Elephas maximus indicus: one gene and its partners. The protein of the gene in region 1 interacts with the protein of each later gene in a pairwise test. Links are inferred from orthologs where the notes say so. Each region holds a gene or a part of one and is shown in the gene's direction. Other genes may lie near its edges.

Region 1 (7,123 bases):
TTTCCTTTCTAAGGATCTGGGTTATGCTCCTTTTTTCAATTATTTTTTCCGGCAATTCAAATTAAAAACAAATTACTCATTATCCATGTTCAAAGTGTCCTTTCACACATATGAACAGATAAGACAAATATGCTTTCTATGCATATTTTTTGATTCAAAAACAAGATAACACTAATAGCTATCTCTTTTCCAAGGCACTGTGCTAAGCACTTTACATGCATTTAATCTCATTTAATAGATACCTCTTTAGGAAGGTAATATTAAAGACAGACCTTTAAAATAATCACTTAGAAAGAAATCTACAGACGTCTCTCTGCTCAAAGAATCATAAAGATGGGAGGGACCTTGTCTAAACCAAGACACAGGATAAGTTTTCCTAATCCATTCAGCCTTTCGTGGGAGGACATTCTCAACAAGATAATTAAGCACTATGGCCTAAGATACCCATTACGTGTAATGATTTAACTTCTCTCATGTCCCTAGATGGTCATTGTTCCAACGAAGCTATGTATCATCCTTGGGAGAATTGAGAAATGTAGTCACTCTAATAATTTTCTTTAAGGTTTGATTCTCTAGCAGAAGCCCAATTAAGGAAAGCTACTAGGCACCACAGAGCCTTACTCTTAAATAATTCATTAAGTCAGTCAAAATGTGTGTCTGTGTTCATGTGTTTGCCTGTTTGGCAGGCAGGAAGCTACAAATCAGTCTCTTAAGGGATTGACAAAATATGTAATTAGACACTATCAATCACCATAAAAAAGCCTGCTTTTTCTTATAGCAGATAAAGGTGCATTTAATCTACTAAGAACTTCCCAGCTCAACTGCAGCATTAACTCTCTAAGGCCATGAGCACAAACAATAAGCAGTGCTTGTCAGACTCCTCTGCTGGGAAATGGAACAGTAGCGCCGGGCAGTAACTGCATACCAGGCCAGGAGGCAGACCTAGACTCCTAATTTGCCCTGCCACTTTGAACCAGACACTTCACTTTTCTGCCCTTCAGTTTCCTTATTTGCAAACTGAAGGCAATAAGCTAAATGATCTATTAAACCCTTTTTTAATTCTAACCTTCTTCTAATCCTATGATTTGAAAAGGAGGTCAGGAGAAAAGACTCTTGGCAAGAAGACAACAGCTCGAAATTCCTACCAGCTTGGTGATGCAGCAGAGAGAGAGAGAAATAATCCAGTTGGCAAGGCTGGTGGGCAAGGGCTTGGAACTTCTTAGTAGACATAAGCAATTTCCCCTTCTCGATTTAGCGTTTGTGGTGTTTTTAAAACGTATTTCCCAAAATACTCAGTTAAATTTTTAAGTGACTTACGTGTATATCTAAGTGATCGATTAGTGTTTGTTCTAAAAGGGTTTTCTTTGTTCCTTTTCTTGTATGTGAAAGTTAAACAATATGCTTATTTATTCCATAGTTTCACAAACAGGAAGGAGGTTTTAAATGGTTTAGTTCCACAATTTGGAGTAGATGTATATTTAAGGAAACTTTGTTACATAACAGACACTGCCTCTTCCTAAAATGCATCAGACCAGAGCCAATTGTGGAAAACATAAATATGAGGTGGGTATGTTTTGAAAACCATAGGAACATAATAGATCCTTAATTAATATCTGTGGCTTATATGGGAAATGTGCTTTTTTTTTTTAAGGCATCTGTCTTAGAGAAACAGCTTCTGCTATTGAAAGAAGTTAAAGGGAACTTGTAAGTTGAATACTGTCTCTGAGCTTTGCTTCTACAGTAAACACTCAACTTACTTTCGTCCTGAATTATTGTCTGGTAGAGGAGACTAACAGTATATGCTAAACGAAATAATTTATATAAATATTACTTATAACCCATTTGATTCTCACTGAATCCAATAACAACAGAAAAAAGTTACTTTATTCCCTCTGTAGAGGCAGATGAAATTAGGCTTCATCTTTGTAATGTGCCGAAGGAAAACCAAATCAAAATCAAACCCATTGCAGTTGAGTCGATTCCAACTCATAGAGACCCCATAGGACAGAGTAGAACTGCCCTATAGGGTTTCCAAGGGGCAACTGGTGGATTCAAACTATTGACCTCTTTGGTAGCAGCTGAGATCCAAAGGAAAGTTGAGCTAGAAAGTTCCAAGACAGGTAGACCTGGAATCTGTGTATTCTAATACTAGTTGCAATGCTTCTTCCCTATCTTGCACTCCTTTCTGCACGTAATGATACCAAATCTGTTGCCATCGAGTTGATTCCGACTCATAGTGACCCTATAGGACAGGGTACAACTGCCCCACAGGGGTTCCAAGGAGTGGGTGGTGGATTTGAACTGCTGACCTTTTGGTTAGCAGCCCAGCTCTTAACCACTATGCCACCAGGGTTCCTGTAATGATACGGTATGCAGAAAAGATAAAAGATGGCTTTAGAGCCAGACAAAGCGGGGTTAAAATCCTGCCTCTGGCCATGTGCCTCTAGGCAAGCTATTTCGCTCTTTAAGGCCCATGTGTGAATTAAGTTAAAAATAGTACCCCGGATTGTAGGAAGGATTAAATGGAATAATGTATGAATAGTTCATAGGAAATGTTCCATAAATGTTATCCATTGTTATTTTATTATGTAATCTGCAAAGTATGTTTGACTACATTGCATGAAATACTTTCCATTTTTTAAAGACATACTGATACGTATGAAATCAAACACTGGGCATTAATTTTTTCATAACAGTAAAGTCATATGCCAGATGCCAAAGCAAAGTATTTTGTGGACAAAGACTTTGGTTCTAAGACTGGTCTGCTTTTTATTTTTATTTTTGTAACAAGGAAGAATTATCTTTTGCTTTCTGTACTTTCAAAATGTTCTTAATGTCAGCACATTCTAAATAGATTGAGCCATACGAAATTGCCATTTTGTGGGTCAAACACATCCAAATATTGGCAATTTCATATGGTTCAAACAAATAAATTATAGAGCAAATGAAAGATTTTTTTTTCTTCGCAATAGGTTACTGAAGTAGTCCATGTTGAAATGCAAATGGTCCCATTTTCAATACATTTTCATTCCAACAGATAATGAGGGAATAATGCCACATTCCCAAGAATTAAAAACAAAAGCATACAACTTTCTCCTTCCACCCCCAAGTACATACGTGAAGACCCCAGTTTGAATGAAATCCAAAGAGTAAAATTATGTCTCAATACCCACAAAATTCCCAAGGAGGGCACCAAAAGTACTTGACAGCGAGTGTACTGAGGAAATCGGCAGCTGCTGAAGTCACCTCCTGTGGTCTTGCCAAATGTTTGAAAAAGGAATATGCTGGGTGTCTGTGTGCGGGGAGCGTGGAAGTAGGGGTGGGGGCTGCATTTATAAATGCCTGAGTGGGGGGGTTTGTGAGTAGGGACAGGGACGACCGTGTCTGGGTCGCTCTCCATGTCTCTGCGTGTTCCTGTGGGTTCATTTCTTTCTGTGTGCGACCACGCTTTTGCACTTCTGTGTTTGCTTTTGGCCTCGCCTCTGTGTTGGACAGAGGTGACATTGTGCCTGTCTGCTTCTGTGTGTGTGCGCGCGCGCGTGTGCATGTTGGTGCGCTAGACGGGTGTGTCTCCGTGTCTGTGGCTGTGATTCCGTATAAGTCTGAGCATGCCTGTCGGGGTGCATTTGTGCCTGTACGTGCGTGTCTCGGTGGGCACTCTAGTCTCTTTTTCCGCACGTCGGGGACTGCCGGTGTGCTGCCCGCTGCGCTAAGACCTCATTGCGTTCAGGCTCCCGGGACAGAGAGGTAGCAGCCATATGAGAGCCCAAAGCTCCTAGGTTGGCTGTTAAGCACGCCGGACCCAGCTTTAGCATTCTGGGTGCAGCCCGGAGTAGCCGGCAGGGAGTGGTGGCCCGCCCGCCTAAAGGGTAGCAGCTGAGCCCCGCCCGAGCCAGGCCAGGAGGGGGAGAGCTAGGGGCGGGAAGGGAGGGGGGCCTCGCCCTTTCGGGGCTGCCCGCGCGCCATTGGCGGAAAGTTGACGCACGTCACGGAGAGGGCAGTTCCCCTAAAGTCCTGTGCACATAACGGGCTGGGCGGACTCAGAGGCGGCTCCTGCAGGGCGCTGGCTGCGACTGACGGGCACAGCGAGCCCAGGGCACCCCGCAAAGCTGAATGTGAGGGACGCACCCCACTGCATCCACCCCACGGCCGCTGAATGAGGCTTCCAGGCGTCCGCTCGCGGCCCGCAGCGCCCCGCCGGGGGTCCGCCAGCTGAGGCGCGACCAGTGCGCCTGCAGCAAGTGCGCTCACCTGCCAGCCTACGCGCCATGGGGCAACCCGGGAACAGCAGCGTCTTTTTGCCTGCGCCCAACGGAAGCCACGAGCCGCACCACAACGTCACGCAAGAACGGGACGAGGCGTGGGTGGTGGGCATGGGCATCGTCATGTCGCTTATCGTCCTGGCCATTGTGTTTGGTAACGTGCTGGTCATCACGGCCATCGCCAAGTTTGAGCGTCTGCAGACGGTCACCAACTACTTTATCACCTCGCTGGCCTGTGCGGACTTGGTCATGGGCCTGGCGGTGGTGCCCTTTGGGGCCAGCCACATCCTCATGAAAATGTGGAGTTTTGGCAATTTCTGGTGCGAGTTTTGGACTTCCATTGACGTGTTGTGCGTCACTGCCAGCATCGAGACCCTGTGTGTGATCGCAGTGGATCGTTATTTTGCCATCACATCACCCTTCAAGTACCAGAGCCTGCTGACCAAGAATAAAGCCCGGGTGGTCATTTTGATGGTGTGGATCGTGTCAGGCCTTACCTCCTTCTTGCCCATCCAAATGCACTGGTACCGGGCCACCCATGCGGAAGCTATCAACTGCTATGCCGAAGAGACCTGCTGTGACTTCTTCACGAACCAAGCCTATGCCATTGCCTCCTCTGTTGTGTCCTTCTACTTGCCCCTGGTGGTCATGGTCTTTGTCTACTCCAGGGTCTTCCAAGTAGCCAAAAGGCAGCTCCAGAAGATTGACAAATGTGAGGGCCGCTTCCATGCTCAAAACCTCAGCCAGGTGGAGCAGGATGGGCGGAGTGGGCATGGACATCGCAGGTCGTCCAAGTTCTGCTTGAAGGAACACAAAGCCCTCAAGACTTTAGGCATCATCATGGGCACGTTCACCCTCTGCTGGCTGCCCTTCTTCATTGTCAACATTGTGCATGTGATCCAGGACAACCTCATCTCCAAGCAAGTTTACACCCTCCTTAACTGGGTGGGCTATGCCAATTCTGCTTTCAATCCCCTTATCTACTGCAGGAGCCCGGATTTTAGGATTGCCTTCCAGGAACTTCTGTGCCTGCGTAGGTCTTCTCTGAAGGCCTATGGGAACGGCTGCTCCAACAACGGCCACACCAAAAGTGACTGCACAGGGGAGCAGAGTGAATATCACCTGGGGCAGGAGAAAGAAAGTGAACTGCTGTGTGAGGACCCTCCAGGCACTCAAGGCTTTGTGAACTGTCAAGGTACTGTGCATAACGATAGCATTGATTCCCAAGGGAGGAATTGTAGTACAAATGACTCACTGCTGTAAGCAGTATTTCTACTTTTTAAGACTTCTCCCTCCCCAAGGAACACTAAACAGACTTGTTAACTTGAGTGTAATAAATTTAGAATAAAATTGTATAGAGATGTGCAGGAGGAAGGAAATCCTTCTGCCCCTTTTTTTTATTTTTTTAAGCTGTAAAAAAAAGAGAAAGCGTATTTGAGTGATTATTTGTTTCTTGTACAGTTCAGTTCCTCTTTGCATGGAACTTTTAAGTTTATGTCTGAAGGGCTTTTGTCCCAGAGGACCTGGGTCTGCTGTTTTGATGACTCCTCCGTGTATCTACCTCACTGGTCAAGTGTTAGGGGTAGCGTTTTGCTGCTGGTAATTTACGTCTGAAGGAGATGTTCCTTCCTGCACCCTTGGACTTGAGGATCTTGTGTATCTCGGACCTTTCAGCTGTGAACATGGACTCTCCCTGCTCCTCTTATTTGCTCAAACAGGGTGTTGTAGGCAGGGATTTGAGGGGCAGCTTCAGTTGTTTTCCTGAGCAAAGTCTAAAGTTTACAGTAAATAAATTGTTTGACCATGACTTCATTGCACCTGTTTCTCCAAAACCCCTTGATTGGAGTGTTGTTGCCTCCCCCACTGGAAACCACAGGTAACTATTTGTAATAACTGCTCAGTGACTTAATGCTGAATGATCCAGGAATGACATGTGCTGATTGCTTAACGCTTTCGCCTGCCTTGAAATCGGCTGCTACAAACCTGTATCTCTCCTAACACTTGTGTTCCAAATCCGTTCTACCTGCTCTCAGCATAGCTCAGCTCAGCCTCCAGTTATGATTCTGTGTTGTTACATCAGAAACACTGACTCATAGAAATGGAGCTGTGGGCATATGTTTTGTCCCTCCACACCCCCCCACCCCCCCCCCCCTTTCAGTTCTGCTTGTTTGAGAACTGCTTATATTTATGTCTTTGCCATGTCTTATAGTGGAGAGCCTTGTACTGCATCAGGGCTTGACATTTTCAGGAAATAAGGAAGATGTTCTTATGAAAAATCTATTCAAACAGAGCCCAGCATTCCAAGGGAGGGCAAACAGGGCACTGGTCACCGAGAGAAAAGCTGGGAAACATGTAGCTATGAACACCTCAAGACCGTGAAACAGGGTTTTAGCCCTTCTTCCTTCTGTCGCCTTTTTCCTTTTCTTTTGACCCGTCTCACTTCAATATAAACCAGCGTTTCTCAGTGTCAGCATTATTAGCATTTTGGACCAAATAACTCTTTGTTGTGGGGGACTGCCCTGTGCATTGTTGAATGCTTAACAGCATCTCTGGCTTCTACCCACTAGATGCCAGTAACACCACCCACCCAGTTGTGACAATGAAAAATGTCTCCAGACACTGTCAAATGCCTCCTAGGGGTGAAATTGCCCTTGGTTGAAAATCTCTGGTACAAACTTTTAAAATCTAAAGAGATTTTAGATTCTGTCTAATGCAACAGTTTTACCTTGCAGAGCCTCTGAGAGCTATGGCGATATTGCTCCTAGTTGAGAACCACTGGTATAAACTTTTAAAATCTAAACAGATTTTTAGGTTCTGTCTAGTGCAATGACTTTATTTTACAGAGCCTGAGAAAGGCATTT
Region 2 (7,516 bases), on another chromosome or scaffold:
TTTTTTTTGTAGGTATTGGAGACCACTCCTTTTGTCTGTCTGTGTCACAAGACACAGTCCAAAGATCTCTGTGGCATGTGGTTTATTTGATAGAAAAGGATACCAATCAACAAAATCAACCCATTGCCGTAGATTTGATTCCAACTAATAGTGACCCTATAGGACTGAGTAGAACTGCCCCATAGGGTTTCTAAGGCTGTAATCTTTACGGAAGCAGACTGCCATATCTTTCTTCTGCAGAGCAGCTGGTGGGTTCCAACCACGGACCTTTTGATTCGCAGCTGAGTGCTCAACTACTGCGCAACCAGGCCTCCTCCAGAAAAGAATAAAATGGTACTAAATAATCTCAAGATCACAGTATGCCTGGGGTTCCTATGAGAACCACTTCTCTCAGTCCCAGAACAAAGCTTCTCTAAGTGTGTTCCAAACCAGGGTACTGCTTGGGGACCATCTGTGAAAGCCACCTCTGAGTTTTGTTAACATGCATGAGAACTAATATAAATTATATAATTTTGTTTCAATCAATTATATAACAAAAATTCATCTCTGAGCAAACACTCTCAGTACTTGTTTCATAAGATCCTTCTATAAACGTCTACCATATTATTGTTTTGTGTGTTTAGAAGACCAGCTAGAGCCAGGCTTTTCTTCTCCTGGTAGGCTGCACTAGATCTCACTATTTCTTCAGGACCACTGTCTGCTTCCACGCTGTGGCTTGATTTGAACTTTGTTGATGATGTCCTTTTTGGTGCAGAAATTTAAAACATTAAGGTAATTCATATTTGTTATTTTTATCTTTTATGCTTTTGAGTCCTACCTGTCTTACTCTGATGTTATAATGATATTTTTGTTTTCATCTAAAAATTTGAAATACTTTTCTGATTTAGGTCTTTAATCTGTCATATATTTTTATATATAGAATGAAGAAGGAAATACAAATTTTGCCATATATCTGTCAATTTTTCCAATAGCATTTATTGAGTAATCCAACTAACCCTACCATTTGTAATGGCAGTTCTTTTCATATATCAAATTCCCATGTAAGATTATTCATGTTTCCTTATTTCCTGTTCTGTTCCATTTGTCTATTTGGCCATCCCTGCACCAACAACATGCTAGTTTTATACTGTAGCTATATCAGTAGTCTTGCTATGTGGTAAAGTCCATCTGTGAACTAAAAAATATATGTATAATTCTATTAGATTTTTTATGTAGGCTTATCTCATCTACAAATAATGCCAATTTTATTTCTTTCCAATGCTTATTTGTTTTTCTTGTCTTATTTCATTGGTAAGGATGTTCAGTACAATGCAGATGATAGAAGAGGTCATTTGTGTTCTGTTCTAATTTTAAAGGGAATTTTTTTTTGATATTTTGACATTAATGCTCACTGTCTTTTATTAGTTGACATTTATATTAAGGAAGCTTCTTTTCTATTTCTAGTTAACAGTATTAATAATGGATGATGGTTGCATTTAACCAAATGCTTCTCCTGCATCTATTGAAATGTATTTTTGTCCTTAAATATTTCAACTGGCTAAATTATAAAAATATATCCTATATTTAAAAAAAATGGATGCTGCTGAATTCAATTTGTCAGAATTTTATTTTGGATTGCTGTGTATATGTTTGTACCAAAAAAACCCAAACCTGTTGCCGTCGAGTCAATTCCGACTATAGAGACCCTATAGGACAGAGTAGAACTGTCCCATAGAGTTTCCAAGGAGTGCCTGGTGGATTCAAACTGCCAACCTTTTTGCTAGCAGCCGTAGCTCTTAACCACTACGCCGCCGGGGTTTCCTTTTACGTTTGTAAGTGCTCAAAAACTGCCTCATCGGAAAGGCTTTCAGTGATCGTCCTTGTAAGTGAGCATCCCTCCCTCATGCAGCACTGTATTCCCTTTCTGTTCTTTTCTTCATAGCACTTAGCGTTATCTGACACATTATACAGTTATTTGTTTAATTGCATATTCCCTGTCTCCCCCTGGAGAATATAAATTCAGTGAGAGCAGAACTTTATTTTGTTCACTGTTGTACCCTTAGTACCTTGAGCAGAATATTTGTTTAATGAATAAATGCTTTTGAGGGAATGAATTAGTGTATTTGAATGACTAAATTAATTTATGAAAGAATAGTGTTATTAGCCTATAATTGTTTGTCTCTGTGTTTCTGCCTGGTTTTGACATCAAAGTTATGCTGGCTTCATAAAATGAATCGATTAGCTCTGGAACATTTTCTACAAGTGTTATTTCTTGTCATCCCTGTTTAGCACAAATGACTAAGCACTTGACCACTAACCAAAAGGTTGGCTACTCCAACCCACCCAGAGATGCCTCAGAAGAAAGGGCTGGCAATCTGCTTCCGAAAGGTCACGGCCTTAAAACCCCTATGTGCGGATCTACTCTGAAACAGATGGGGACCCCGTGAGTGGGAATCAACAGGAGGGTAACTGGTTTTTTGTTTTTTTTTTTTTGGTTTAGCACTGAAACATTTTATTTAAGTGTGTATTTATTTCTTAGACTTTGTTAAGGCTTGGTGCTCTCTTGTGGGTAGATGTTGATGAATGATTTGATTTCTTTAATGCTATTGGTCTATTTAGTTTTCCAATTTTTTTTTTCTTGTGCTATGTTTGATAGTTTATATTTTTCAGAAAATTGTTCCTGTTGTTTACATTTTCAGATTAATTTGGTGGATTGCTGTCGTATAGCTGCAGTAGGAAATTACCACAAACTCAGTGGTAATTTGATGCATTTACACGATGTATTATTTTACATTTCTGGAAGTCATTAGTCAAAAATGGTCAGTCAGGGCCTTATCCTTGCCTTTCGAGCTTCTAGGGGCTGCTGGCATTCTTTGGCTCAAGGTCGCACATCACTCCGACCCCTGCTTATGTCCTCCCATCTGCTTCTCTGATTCTGACCTTACCGCCTCCCTCTTACAAGAACCCATGTGATTACATTAGCCTAATGGGATAATCCTGTATTATCTCCCCATTTTAAAATCCTTAATTTAATCACATTTGCAAAGTCTCTTTTGCCATGTAAGGGGTCATATTCACAGGTATCAGGGATTAGGATGTGCACATTTTTGGGAGACCTTTACTTGCCACCACTGGCATATTTTTCATTGTGTTTTCTTCTCTCTAGATATGTTGCCTTTTTTATTTTAAAATGTGTTTATTTCATCCTTTATTACTTTCTCTTAATCATTTTGTCTGAGACTTGTATATTTCATTAACCATAAGCCCATATCTGTGACAGGGGTGTGGAGTATGGTATACAGGCTAGGAAGGCAGGGTCAGCCACGCTGGGAGTTTTGTTCAAGTTAATACCTCCCCTCCTGTCATTTTCTAAGAGGAACACTGGTGGCGCAGTGGTTAAGTGCTTGGCTGCTAACCAAAATGTCCGCTGTTCGAACCCACCAGTTGTTCTGAGGGAGGAGAATGTGGCAATCTGCTCCTGTAAACATTACAGCCTTGGAAACCCTATGGGGCAGCTCTACCCACTCCTGTAGGGTCGCTATGAGCCAGAATCCACTCCACGGCAGTGGGTTTGGTCACTTTCTACACAAAGGGTTTGCACTAGACTACTAACCTAAAGGTTCGTAGTTGGAACCTACAGAGCAGTGCCACCCAGGAAAGGACTGGTGATCCTTAGTAAAGATTACAGCCAAAAAACAAACAAAAAAAAACCTAAGGAGCAGCTTTTCTCTACAACACAGGAGGTGCCACGAGTCAGAATCGACTGGACGGCAATGGGTTTGGTTTTTGGTTTGGATCATTTCCTACCACTTCATCAAACAAAACTGCGTCCTTCGTGCCCTGGCTGGTTCTAAGTAAAGCCTTAGAGGATGCTTCCTAATTCAGTGTTAAAGGTAATGATGTATCCGCATCCTCACTCTTAAATCCTGCCCCCGGACCTGCTAATCTTCGGTGATTGAAACCTCAGAGCTCCCCTTCTCCCCTCTCTCAGCTCCTGGGAATACCTAAGGAGGTGAGCGCCTCACCTTTCTAGTCCCTCGGTTCTGAGGCTCGGGCATGCGCACCGGCCGCGCCGCTTGGCGGCGACAGCGTGGGTCTCTCGCTGGCACCGCGGCTCCGGGACCAGTCGGGCTGGTTCCGACAGCTGGGGAATTAACCCGTCCCGCCCATTCCCTAGCCTCGAGCCGCGCAGACTCCGCGCCTCCGCCCTTGTTCCTCGCAGCTTCCAGCTCGTACGAGTGAGAGCCTCTACAAAGGGCTTGAATGAAGCGTCCGTGGCTTTAGTAAGTCCTAAACCACCAGGGGATCCCGTCTTCCCACAAACCAGCGTCTCTCTGAGGAGGAGGGGCAGGCGGCGAGGAGGCGAGCCATCGGTGTCGCCGGCGCGCGCAGCAACTGGGGCGGCGGGGAGAGGCCGGGCCACCGCCCCCTTCCCGGCCATGCACCGCCTCGCCCGCGGCGGCTCCAGGCACCGCGCTCCCCGCCCGCGCGGCACCGGCTGTCGCGGCCACCAGCTCCTGTGGCCGCCGGCACCGGCCAACGAGGTGCAGCGCCGGCCCAGCCCCGCGATCCTCTTCCCCGCGGGGACCCGCCGCCCGGGCCGACCCCGCGTCAACTTTGGGCCGGAACAGCAGCAACTTTGACAGTGGCCACAGGTTTCCCACCCCGCTTCTACTCGGCAGCAGTGGCCTCGCGGGTCTCCGGGGCTCATCCGCTCGGCGTCTGGCTGTTTGCAACCTGTTTCCAGCTAGCGGGGAGCGGGAGTGTGGCTGCCAGCCGTCTGGGGGAGGGGGACTTGTTTTTCCTTCCCTCTGGAGACCTCGGCTCGCAACTGGATAAAGCAGCATCGAAAGGATGTAAATAGGCAGAGCAACTGTTACCAGGAAGGCGATCATCCAAGGCAGGGAGAAGCGTGGGGCTGCGTCCGGGCTTTTCCCAGGCGCAACATTAATCAACAGTCAGGTGTTGGTGGTAACTTTTCAAGGTCAGCCACCGGGAGCAGCGGCTTCCTTCTCGGACCCTTGGGGGTACTCAGCGCTCGGATTGGATTTGGAGGAGGAAATGCCAAAAAAGGAAGAATTTTAGGGAGGGTGTGACCCCACGACCCATCCTTCAACCTCCCCTTAGTCTCTGGCCCCCCACTGCCTGAGCGGGGGTGAGTAGTGACATGCGTTTAACTCGCAGCAGTAACTTAGGCTGCGGGTGTCGAGCCTAAGCCTCAGTTGCGCTGCCGGGTGCGCCCACGCGGAGCCATGCGTGTCCTGGGCGCTCCGCTCACCAGCGCCTTGCGGCTGCTGCTTCTACTGCTACTCCAGGTTTCTGCGGCTCCTGCCCTCGGGGCCGCTCCGGAGTCCGGGAATGAAACTTGTGTAGGGGAGAGCTGCTCACCTACACTGACCCAGAGCCACAGCAGGGACGTTTCAGGGACGGGAAATTCTACAAAAGACGTTCTGCGAACCCTTGCGCCCTGGGAGAGGGAGGAGCTGGAGGCAGTGGTGCGCGCGGTGCCCTCCTGGGACCTGTCGGCGGCCCGGGGCGGTGACCCAGGTGTGGCAAGAGGGGCGGAGGCGGCGGCCAAGGGGCTCTCGGGACCCCTGACCAGGGCGCCTGGCACCTGGAGGCGGAAAGGTGTCTGGAACCAGGAACCCCCAGGAGCTCTGGGGAGGGGCTATCCCACAGCCCTGCGGCGCTTACTGCAGACCTCAGAGGAGAAAGGGAAAGGTCCTAGGGGCCCTGGCATTTCGGTGCGCAGCAAAGAGCACACTGTGAGGACAGAGCTCGGAACCAGCGACCTTTTTTACCGGCCTAAGAGAGCCGGGAAGCTCCAGGGTCCCCACCGCGAGCCCCCACCTAAATCTGTCAGTGGACCCGCGGGGCACGAAGGGCGGACACTTGCCCCTCCAGGCAGGGCGCTGGCCCAGAATGGGTCTTCGAGTGAAGGGGTCCTGGACCGCGGCGGACCCCGCCGGGGAAACAGCACGAACCGGCGCGTGAGACTCAAGAATCCCTTCTATCCGCTGACCCAGGAGTCTTACGGAGCCTACGCTGTCATGTGTTTGTCGGTGGTGATCTTTGGGACCGGCATCATCGGCAACCTGGCGGTGATGTGCATCGTGTGTCACAACTACTACATGCGCAGCATCTCCAACTCCCTCTTGGCCAACCTGGCCTTCTGGGACTTCCTCATCATCTTCTTCTGCCTTCCGCTCGTCATCTTCCACGAGTTGACCAAGAAGTGGCTGCTAGAGGACTTCTCCTGCAAGATCGTACCCTATATTGAGGTAATGCCTCCCAGGGGGTCTCTAGCTGCTGGCTTTACCGGTTTCCAGCATTCTAGTATTAAGAAGCTTCTACTGGGCACACCTGCCTTCCTGAACCCTTCACTTTTTCTCGGGATCCCTCCTCCATTTCTCTTTTCAATCATTTATGCACGTATGTATAAAAATAGGGAACTTTCCACAGGCACCTGCAAACTCATCTTCTTCCTGGGGTTGTGAAGAAAAAAAAAAATCACATGATGTATACAATTGTTTGGATTATAAATCTGTCTCTCAGAATATGGGGTTAGGTATATACCTGATGTGTCATCTGTCAGATACTTTAGGGTTAACAGCCAGTCTGCTGCTGTCTTTATCAGAGCCCATTAAGGAAAAAAAAAAAAAAAGAAAGAAAAAACTTCAGCATCTATCTCCTAGATAACTTGTGCTCCAACGTGACTTTTCCCCAAGCAGATTACTGAATTAAGCACCAAGCTGCTAGCTGCATTTTTTCTTTACTTTCTTAAATACCAAAGTTGGAGCAATATGTTATTAAACAAAGGAAATCTGCCTTTCTTGTCAGTTGGCCTCATAATATAGTAATGAACTCCCAAATTAGTTCAACTGTCTTTGGCTGTCTTCCATGCTATCCTATCTAAATTCTTAGGTCATTTCTTGTTTCTTTCTCCTTTTCAATTTCTTCACCATTTTATTTATTTCGTCTGGATGAATGAGACATTGGCCATGCTGGTGCAGCCTGTTTAACGCGCATGAAGTGTGTACTCTATATTTGCCATTTGTTATGGGTATAAGAGACTGATTGTCTTAAGGAATTGACTCTAACATTAGAAAATTTCTTAAGAAGAAAGGGGCATGTGATAAGTTCCAAAGCTTTGGAGATAGAAACCTTTCTAAGTAAAATCTTACTATCGGATCCTACAGCTAGTGCCTGAACTGTTGTTGTGGTGGTTGGAATTTGCTCTTTAAATGGCCTCTCTTTAAACACCAGCTCTTGGAAGGAGCCCAAGTGCTTCACCGCCAGTTGTGTTGTTAGCCAGCTGGCCCCTGATTTTCTCCATTCAGACTGTCCATTTCATTTATGGAAGCAGAAGAAGGGAAACTGTAAATATTCCAGAGCCCCTGATCCTGTCTGGCTCCAGGGCCAGTGACACCATGTTCAACATTGTTCCAGGGCCTAAAGCTAGGGGTAAGTAAACAGAAAACAGTACTGACTTAGAAGGACCCAAGCAGGAGACAGTAAATAAGACTCTGTTATCCTA
Region 3 (6,932 bases), on another chromosome or scaffold:
TTGTGAATTTTCCAGTTTTCTGTTTCATTAATTTGTAGTTTCATTCCATTGTGATTGGTAATAATACTTTATATGATTTCAATCTTTTTAAATTTATTAAGACTGATTTTGTGGCCCAATGTATGATCTATCCTGGAGAACAAACCATATGCATTTGAGTAGAACGTGTGTCTGCTATATCTCATTGGTTTATAGGGTTGTTCAAGGCCTCTATTTCCTTACTGATCTTCTCTTAGTCTGTTCTATCCATTATTGAAAGTGGGGTATTGAAGTCTCCAATGATTATTATAGTTGTCTATTTTTCCCTTCAAATCTGTCAATTTTTTTCTTTATATATATTGTGGGTTCTCACACCATACACAAAAATTAACTCAAAATAGACTAAAGACCTACATGTAAGAGCTAAAATTATAAAACTCTTAGAACAAAACAGCAGCAAATCTTCATGACCTTGGATTTGGCAATTGTTTCTTAAATATTACAGTAAAACCCAAAAAACGCTTAAAAAAAACACACAGGCAAAAAAAGAAAAAGTAAATTGGACTTCATCAAAATTAAAAACTTTTGTGCATCTAAGGACACTACCAACAAAGCAAAAAGACAATCCACAGATTGGGAAAAAATACTTGGATATTATATATCTGAGAAGCATTTAATATCCAGAATATATAAAAAATTCCTACAACTCAACAACAACAAAAAATCCAATTTAAAAATGGGCAAAGGATTTGAGCAGACATTTATCCAAAGAAGATATACAAATGGGCAATAAGCACATAAAAAGATGTTCAACATCATTAGTCCATCCAAACTCATTGCCGTAGAGTCAATTCTGACTCATAGTGACCCTATAGGACAGAGTAGAACTGACCCATAGGATTTCCAAGGCTGTAATCTTTATGGAAGAAGACTGCCACATCTTTCTCCCATGGAGCAGCTGGTAGGTTCAAACTACTGACTTTTTGGGTAGTAGCACTTAATCTACTAGGCCACCAGGGCTCCTTCATTAATCCTTAAGGAAATGCAAATCAAAACTATGATTTTGATTTGCTTATCAGTTACCAAACCAAACCAAACAAACCTGTCGCTTGTAGTGACACTATCTGCCCCATAGGATTTCCAAGGAGCAGCTGCTGGATTCAAACTGGTGACCTTTTGGTTAGCAACCATAGCTCTTAACCACTGTGTTACCAGGGCTGCCATCAAATGGATTCAACTCTCGGCAACCCCATCTGTGTGACCGTAGAACCTCCATAGGGTTTTTAGTGATTGATTTTTTTTGGAAAAAAACCCTGGTGGCTTAGGGGTTAAGAGCTATGTCTGCTAACCAAAAGATTGGCAGTTTGAATCCACCTGGTGCTTCCTGGAAGCCCTATGGTGTAGTTCTACTTTGAGTCGGACTTAATGGCAACAGGTTTTTTGGTTTGGATTTTTCTGAAGTAGATCTCTAGGCCTTCTTCTGAGGTGCCTCTGGGAGGACTCATCCTCCAATCTTTTGGTTAGCAATTGAGCAGGTTAACTGTTTGCATCATTCAGAGACTCCTCACACCCACTAGGATGGTTATTATAAAGGAAAAAAGACGAAACTAAAACAACAGACAATAACAAGTGTTGGAGAGAATGTGGAGAAATTAGTGTCTTTGTGCATTGCTGGCGCAAATGGTACAGCCACTGTGGAATATAGATTGGCAGTTTCTCAAAAAGTTAAACAAAGAATTACCACATGATCCAGCAATTCTGCTCCTAGGCATATACGCAAAAGAACTGAACGCAGGAATTAAAACAGACACTTGACATCGATATTCATTGCAGCATTATTATTCACCATAGTCAAAAGGTGGGAACAACCCAAGTGCCCATCAACAGACAAATGGATAAACAAAATGTGGTATATACATACAAGGGAGTACTACTCAGCCATAAAAAGGAATTTAGTACTGATACATGCTGCAACATAAACCTTGAAAGCATGCTAAGTGACACAAAAAGACAAGACGGTTTGATCCCACTTACATAAAATATCTAGCATAGACAAAGTCATAAAAGCATCAAGTAGATTAGAAATTACCAGAGGTGGAGGGAGAGGGTAATGAGTTATTGCTTAGGGGGTACAGTTTCTGTTCAGGGTGATGAAGAAGTTCTGCAATTAGTAGTGATAGTTACACAATATTGCGAACGTACTTGATGCCACTGAATTGTACACTTAAAAACGGTTACAACGGTAAATTTTATGTTCTATGTATTTTACCACAATAATAATAATAATAAAAGCAGCAGCAATAATTCATACTGCAGGTGGAAAGGGTTGTTTGGTCGTTTTCGTGGTTTGAACAATATCCTCTTTTTGTGTTCAGACATGATTACAGAATGGTCTTTTTCTGGATCCATCAATCAGAGAGTGGCTTTGTCTGATGTTGATGCTCTGTGAAACTGTTTATGCTCAACAGAACAACACCACAGCCTAGCGATGAGTGCAAGGCCAGCTCCTAGCAACACCACAGCTTCTAGAGGCACAGTGCAAACCAACTCCCAGCTGTCAACAGCTGCTTTTTTCTCTCTCTAGCTACACTTGAAAAACCAGAATTAGCAAACTGTTTTGGTAGAACAGAAACCCTGGTGGCATAGTGGTTACGAGCTTTGCTGCTAACCAAAAGGTCAGGAGTTCAAATGCACTAGGTGCTCCTTGGAAACCCTACGGGGCAGTTCTACTCTGTCCCATAGGGTCACTATGAGTCGGAATTGACTTGACGGCAACCGGTTTGGTTTGTTTGTTTTTGGTAGCATGGAGCCCTGGTGGCACAATGGTTAAGAGCTTGGCTGCCAGCCAAAAGTTGGCAGTTCAAATCCACCAGCCACTCCTTGGAAACTCCGTGGGGCAGTTCTACTCTGTCCTATAGACTCACTATGAGTCTGAATTGACTCATCGAAAATGTTTTTTTGTTTTTTTTTTTTTGGTAGAACAGGAGCCCCCGTGGCACACTGGTTAAGCATTTGGCTGCTAACCAAAAGGTCAGCAGTTCAAATCCACCAGCTGCTCCTTGGAAACCCTATGGGACAATTCCACTTTGTCCTATAGGGTCACTATAAGTCAGAATCGACTCGACAGCGTTTTTGGTTTGGTAGACTATGAGCTCTCCAAGTCACCACAAGCCCCACTATTTCCCAAAATCTTATAACTGGCTAACTTCATTTATTTACGTTCCTGCCTGTCCTCTGCAGGCATTTAAATTTGCATCACCTTACTAAGCAAAAAAGAAGCTAACCACGCCCAGAGACAAGCGACTTGTCTAGCATCACTCTGTGAACTGGTGGCTGGATTGAAACTAGAACTCTGTCTTTAGTTTTCCCGCCAGTAAATCCCCCTGCTAGACATTCAGGTAATTGTTATCCTCTAAACTGGATGCTGATTAGGTCTGAAAATAACACTTCTCACCACATTTTGTCAACATTGTGTTCCTATTTCATTTCCTCTTTCGTGATTGAGTAATCTTTTACAGGCACTAGGTCTCATGACATTATCTGGGATTCTAAGGTCCTTGCTCAGCTACCCTGACATTCTTTCTGCTCCTCAAATACTGTGTGACAAGATTGTGCCTGCCTAGGGACCTTTGTATTTGCCGATCCCTCTGCTTGGAACTCTCTTCCCTCACATCTCCACTTCTCAGTCCCAGCTCAGAATCACCTCCTCAGAGAGGCCTTCCCTAAGGGACCTACCTACTCACACCCTTCAGGCCAGGTGCGGATTAACCAGTAAGCAAGGTACGCATAGACTTACTTGTGCTTATTCACTAATCTGCAGTGCACAATTTCACCAGTGAAAACCAGGTGAAATTGTGCACTCCAGATCAGACAACACAAGTAACCCTGAACGTTGTTTGGTTGCTGGGTAGTCCGTCCCTGCTGCAGGCTCTAGCACCCCTGCCACCTTCTCTAGGAGACCAGCCTCTTTCGACTTCCTTTAAGAGCCACCGTTGGTGTCCCGTTCGCAGTTCTCATCGCAGCCTGTCAAGCGCGTGAGTCTGGGAGGCGGGAAACCTTGCCCAATCCCCTTCCCCTCTCTGGGCATCCATGTTCCCTTCAAGCCCGGGAAGCGGACTGAGATCAGAGACACAAACGCGGGCGGGAACGTAGTATTCCACGTCAGGCAAGCTTATCCTGGGTGCCTTCTCGCTCTGGTTTCCCGGACTCGCGAGAGGCCCCCGGCCCTGAGCTGCAAGCACCGGAACCCTCGCTGGCCCCCGGCGCGCAGCCCTCCAGAACCACTACGCATGCTCCGCACTCGGCTCCCCGCGGTCAGGGGCGGGGCCTTGACGCGCCTGCGCAGATGCTGGGCTCCGGTTTCCGGGCCTGGCGGACGCGGTCAGGCTGAGGACCAGTGTCGCCTAGTAGCGGTGGCTTGTGGCCGTGTGGGCCGAGCGCTCTGGCTCAGGGGCCGGGATCAGGGAGTCTTTGGCAGCGGGCCGCAGGGCGCAGAGAGAGCCCGGGATCGCCGCCCACCGCCACCACCTGGCATGTCGGCCGAGGCCTCGGGCCCGGCGGCGGCCGTGGACCCGTCACTGGAAGTCGCGAAGCCCTCGGGTCTGGAGCCTGGCTCCGCCGCCTACGGTCTCAGTCCGCTGACCCCGAACAGCAAGTACGTGAAGCTGAACGTGGGCGGCTCGCTGCACTACACCACTTTGCGCACCCTCACGGGACAGGACACCATGCTTAAAGCCATGTTTAGCGGCCGCGTGGAAGTGCTCACAGACGCTGGAGGTATGCACGCCGCCCTTGTGCCATGCTCCGTTCCCCAGATTCCTTCCCCCCGACTCTTCTCGTCGCCCAGTCTCCCCACGCCCCTTCTCTTGTGTGCAGTCCAGTCAACTCATTCTCGCCTCTCTCCAGCCCCCACATCGCACTTCATCTTCCCTTTCTCATTCATAATCTCCCTCCTTCTCCTATCCTTTACCCCCAGCAGTAACCAACACTTACGGAGCCCCTAGCCCTGCAGGCGCTGCGGTAAGTCAGTCCTCATTCCACCACGTTACCCGCTTCCGCCCCCATTTCTCCTACCCTTCACCGCTCAGCTCCCGCGACTTGGGAACCAGCCTTGTTGCCAGCAGCACCCCCTCCAGGCCACCTTCATCAGTTTCTTCCAACTCCGCAAGCATTTGTTCATCTATGCCTGGGCACTGCTAACACCAGCCTGGAGATCTTGTCTGTCTGTGTCTTCCTAACACAGGTTCCTATACACTTTAGGAATCTGTCTGTAAATGCAGATTGTAGAAGGAGAAGGCTGCTTTGGGTTTGCCAGGGACCCTAGATTAAGGGTGGACAGTTCTCCTTGGCAGTTACCTTACCATTCATTCAGATTTGGGCCTCACTGCCCAGGTAGGACATTAAAATTTGAGGGGAGGGTGGAATTCAGAAGAGGTTGACAAGAATTGTGAGAGCAGAAAAACAAAAGTTGGGGAGGTGGCACACAGAAGGTGAATAATTCATTTACTCAAGTATTTGTGAAGTGTCAGTTAATGCTGGAGATACATTGGTAAAGGAATCTGACAAGACTCCCATGGAATTTACATTTTTGGAGAGGAGGGACAATAAGCAAGTAAACTATATATATATATATATGTAACTGCAGATAGTAATACATTCTGTGAAGACTGTAAATAAAAGTTAAGATGGTAGCAGCCTGGAGGGTGGGTATAAACAGAAAAACCAAACCCAGTGCAGTCGAGTCGATTCTGACTCATAGTGACCTTATAGGACAGAGTAGAACTGCCCCATAAGGTTTCCAAGGAGCGCCTGGCGGATTTGAAATGCCAACCTTTAGGTTAGCAGCCATAGCAGTTAACCACTATGCCACCAGGGTATAGACATTGTAAATGGGATGATCAGAATCAACAAGACAGGTTAGAAGTTTACTGATAAGGTAATTCTATAACAGTTTTCTCATGGCTGAGAACCTTCTGACCACAGAATACACTTGGAAGGTAATTGATTCGCTGTGGCTGGAAATGTTAAAAGGGGTCTATGGGACTGAAGATGTTTTAAAGGATTTTCTTGAATGTGACAAAAGTTTGGGGCGGATCAGAATTCAGACTTCCTTATAACCTTGGAATCCTTTTTTCATAAAAAACATAGTAGTTCCAAGGCCCCCCAGCAAAGTCATCCTTCCTCCTGCCTCCTTCCACCCTACCAGGTTGGGTGCTGATTGACCGGAGCGGCCGCCACTTTGGTACAATCCTCAACTACCTGCGGGACGGGTCTGTGCCACTACCTGAGAGTACCAGAGAACTAGGGGAGCTACTAGGCGAAGCACGCTACTACCTGGTACAGGGCCTGATTGAGGACTGCCAGCTGGCCCTGCAGGTGAGGGCCCCTCCCCTACCTCCTGAGTCCCACGCCTATGCCCATGGCCCTGGGAGAGCTACCCACTACTGTCGAGTCAATTCCGACTTATAGTGACCTTATAGCGCCGGGTTGAACTGCCCCATAGGGTTTCCAAAGCTGTAATCTTCGCGAAAGCAAACTGCCACATCTTTCTCTTTCGGAGTGGCTGGTGGGTTTGGCCAACTAACCTTTTGGTTAGCAGCCAAGTGCTTTAACCACTACGCCCCCAAGTTCCCTTTTTAGATTTAAGAAAAAACAAAACTGTACCCGTTGCCATCAAGTCGATTCCGACTCATAGCAACCCTATAGGACAGAGTAGAACTGCTGCCCCATAGAGTTTTTCAGGGAGCGCCTGGTGGATTTGAACCACTGACCTTTTGGTTAGCAGCTGTAGCACTAAACTACTACGCCACCAGGGTTTCCCCTTTTTAGATATTAAACCCAAAAAAAAAAAACCATTGCCATTGAATTGATTCTGACTCATAGCAACCCTGTAGGACAGTAGAACTGCCCCATAGGGTTTCCAAGGCTGTAATCTTTACAGAAGCAGACTGCCA

What was found.
Region 2: the proteins of ADRB2 (region 1) and GPR37 interact in a protein complementation assay, tested with the Homo sapiens proteins (2 studies listed by BioGRID and IntAct, with this or other methods). The link is inferred for Elephas maximus indicus from reciprocal best matches to the Homo sapiens genes ADRB2 and GPR37.
Region 3: the proteins of ADRB2 (region 1) and KCTD13 interact in a protein complementation assay, tested with the Homo sapiens proteins (2 studies listed by BioGRID and IntAct, with this or other methods). The link is inferred for Elephas maximus indicus from reciprocal best matches to the Homo sapiens genes ADRB2 and KCTD13.

Annotation. Positions count from the first base shown.
Region 1 is NC_064820.1:163,838,418-163,845,540, forward strand, and holds the start of ADRB2 (beta-2 adrenergic receptor), read left to right. Parts: upstream 1-4,040; 5' UTR 4,041-4,268; coding exon 4,269-5,457; exon of another isoform or gene 5,458-6,138; intron 6,139-7,123. UniProt on the Homo sapiens protein: Beta-adrenergic receptors mediate the catecholamine-induced activation of adenylate cyclase through the action of G proteins. The beta-2-adrenergic receptor binds epinephrine with an approximately 30-fold greater affinity than it does norepinephrine.
Region 2 is NC_064826.1:25,080,373-25,087,888, forward strand, and holds the start of GPR37 (prosaposin receptor GPR37), read left to right. Parts: upstream 1-4,496; 5' UTR 4,497-5,231; coding exon 5,232-6,260; intron 6,261-7,516.
Region 3 is NC_064830.1:89,343,218-89,350,149, forward strand, and holds the start of KCTD13 (BTB/POZ domain-containing adapter for CUL3-mediated RhoA degradation protein 1), read left to right. Parts: upstream 1-3,915; 5' UTR 3,916-4,268; coding exon 4,269-4,755; intron 4,756-6,184; coding exon 6,185-6,354; intron 6,355-6,932. UniProt on the Homo sapiens protein: Substrate-specific adapter of a BCR (BTB-CUL3-RBX1) E3 ubiquitin-protein ligase complex required for synaptic transmission.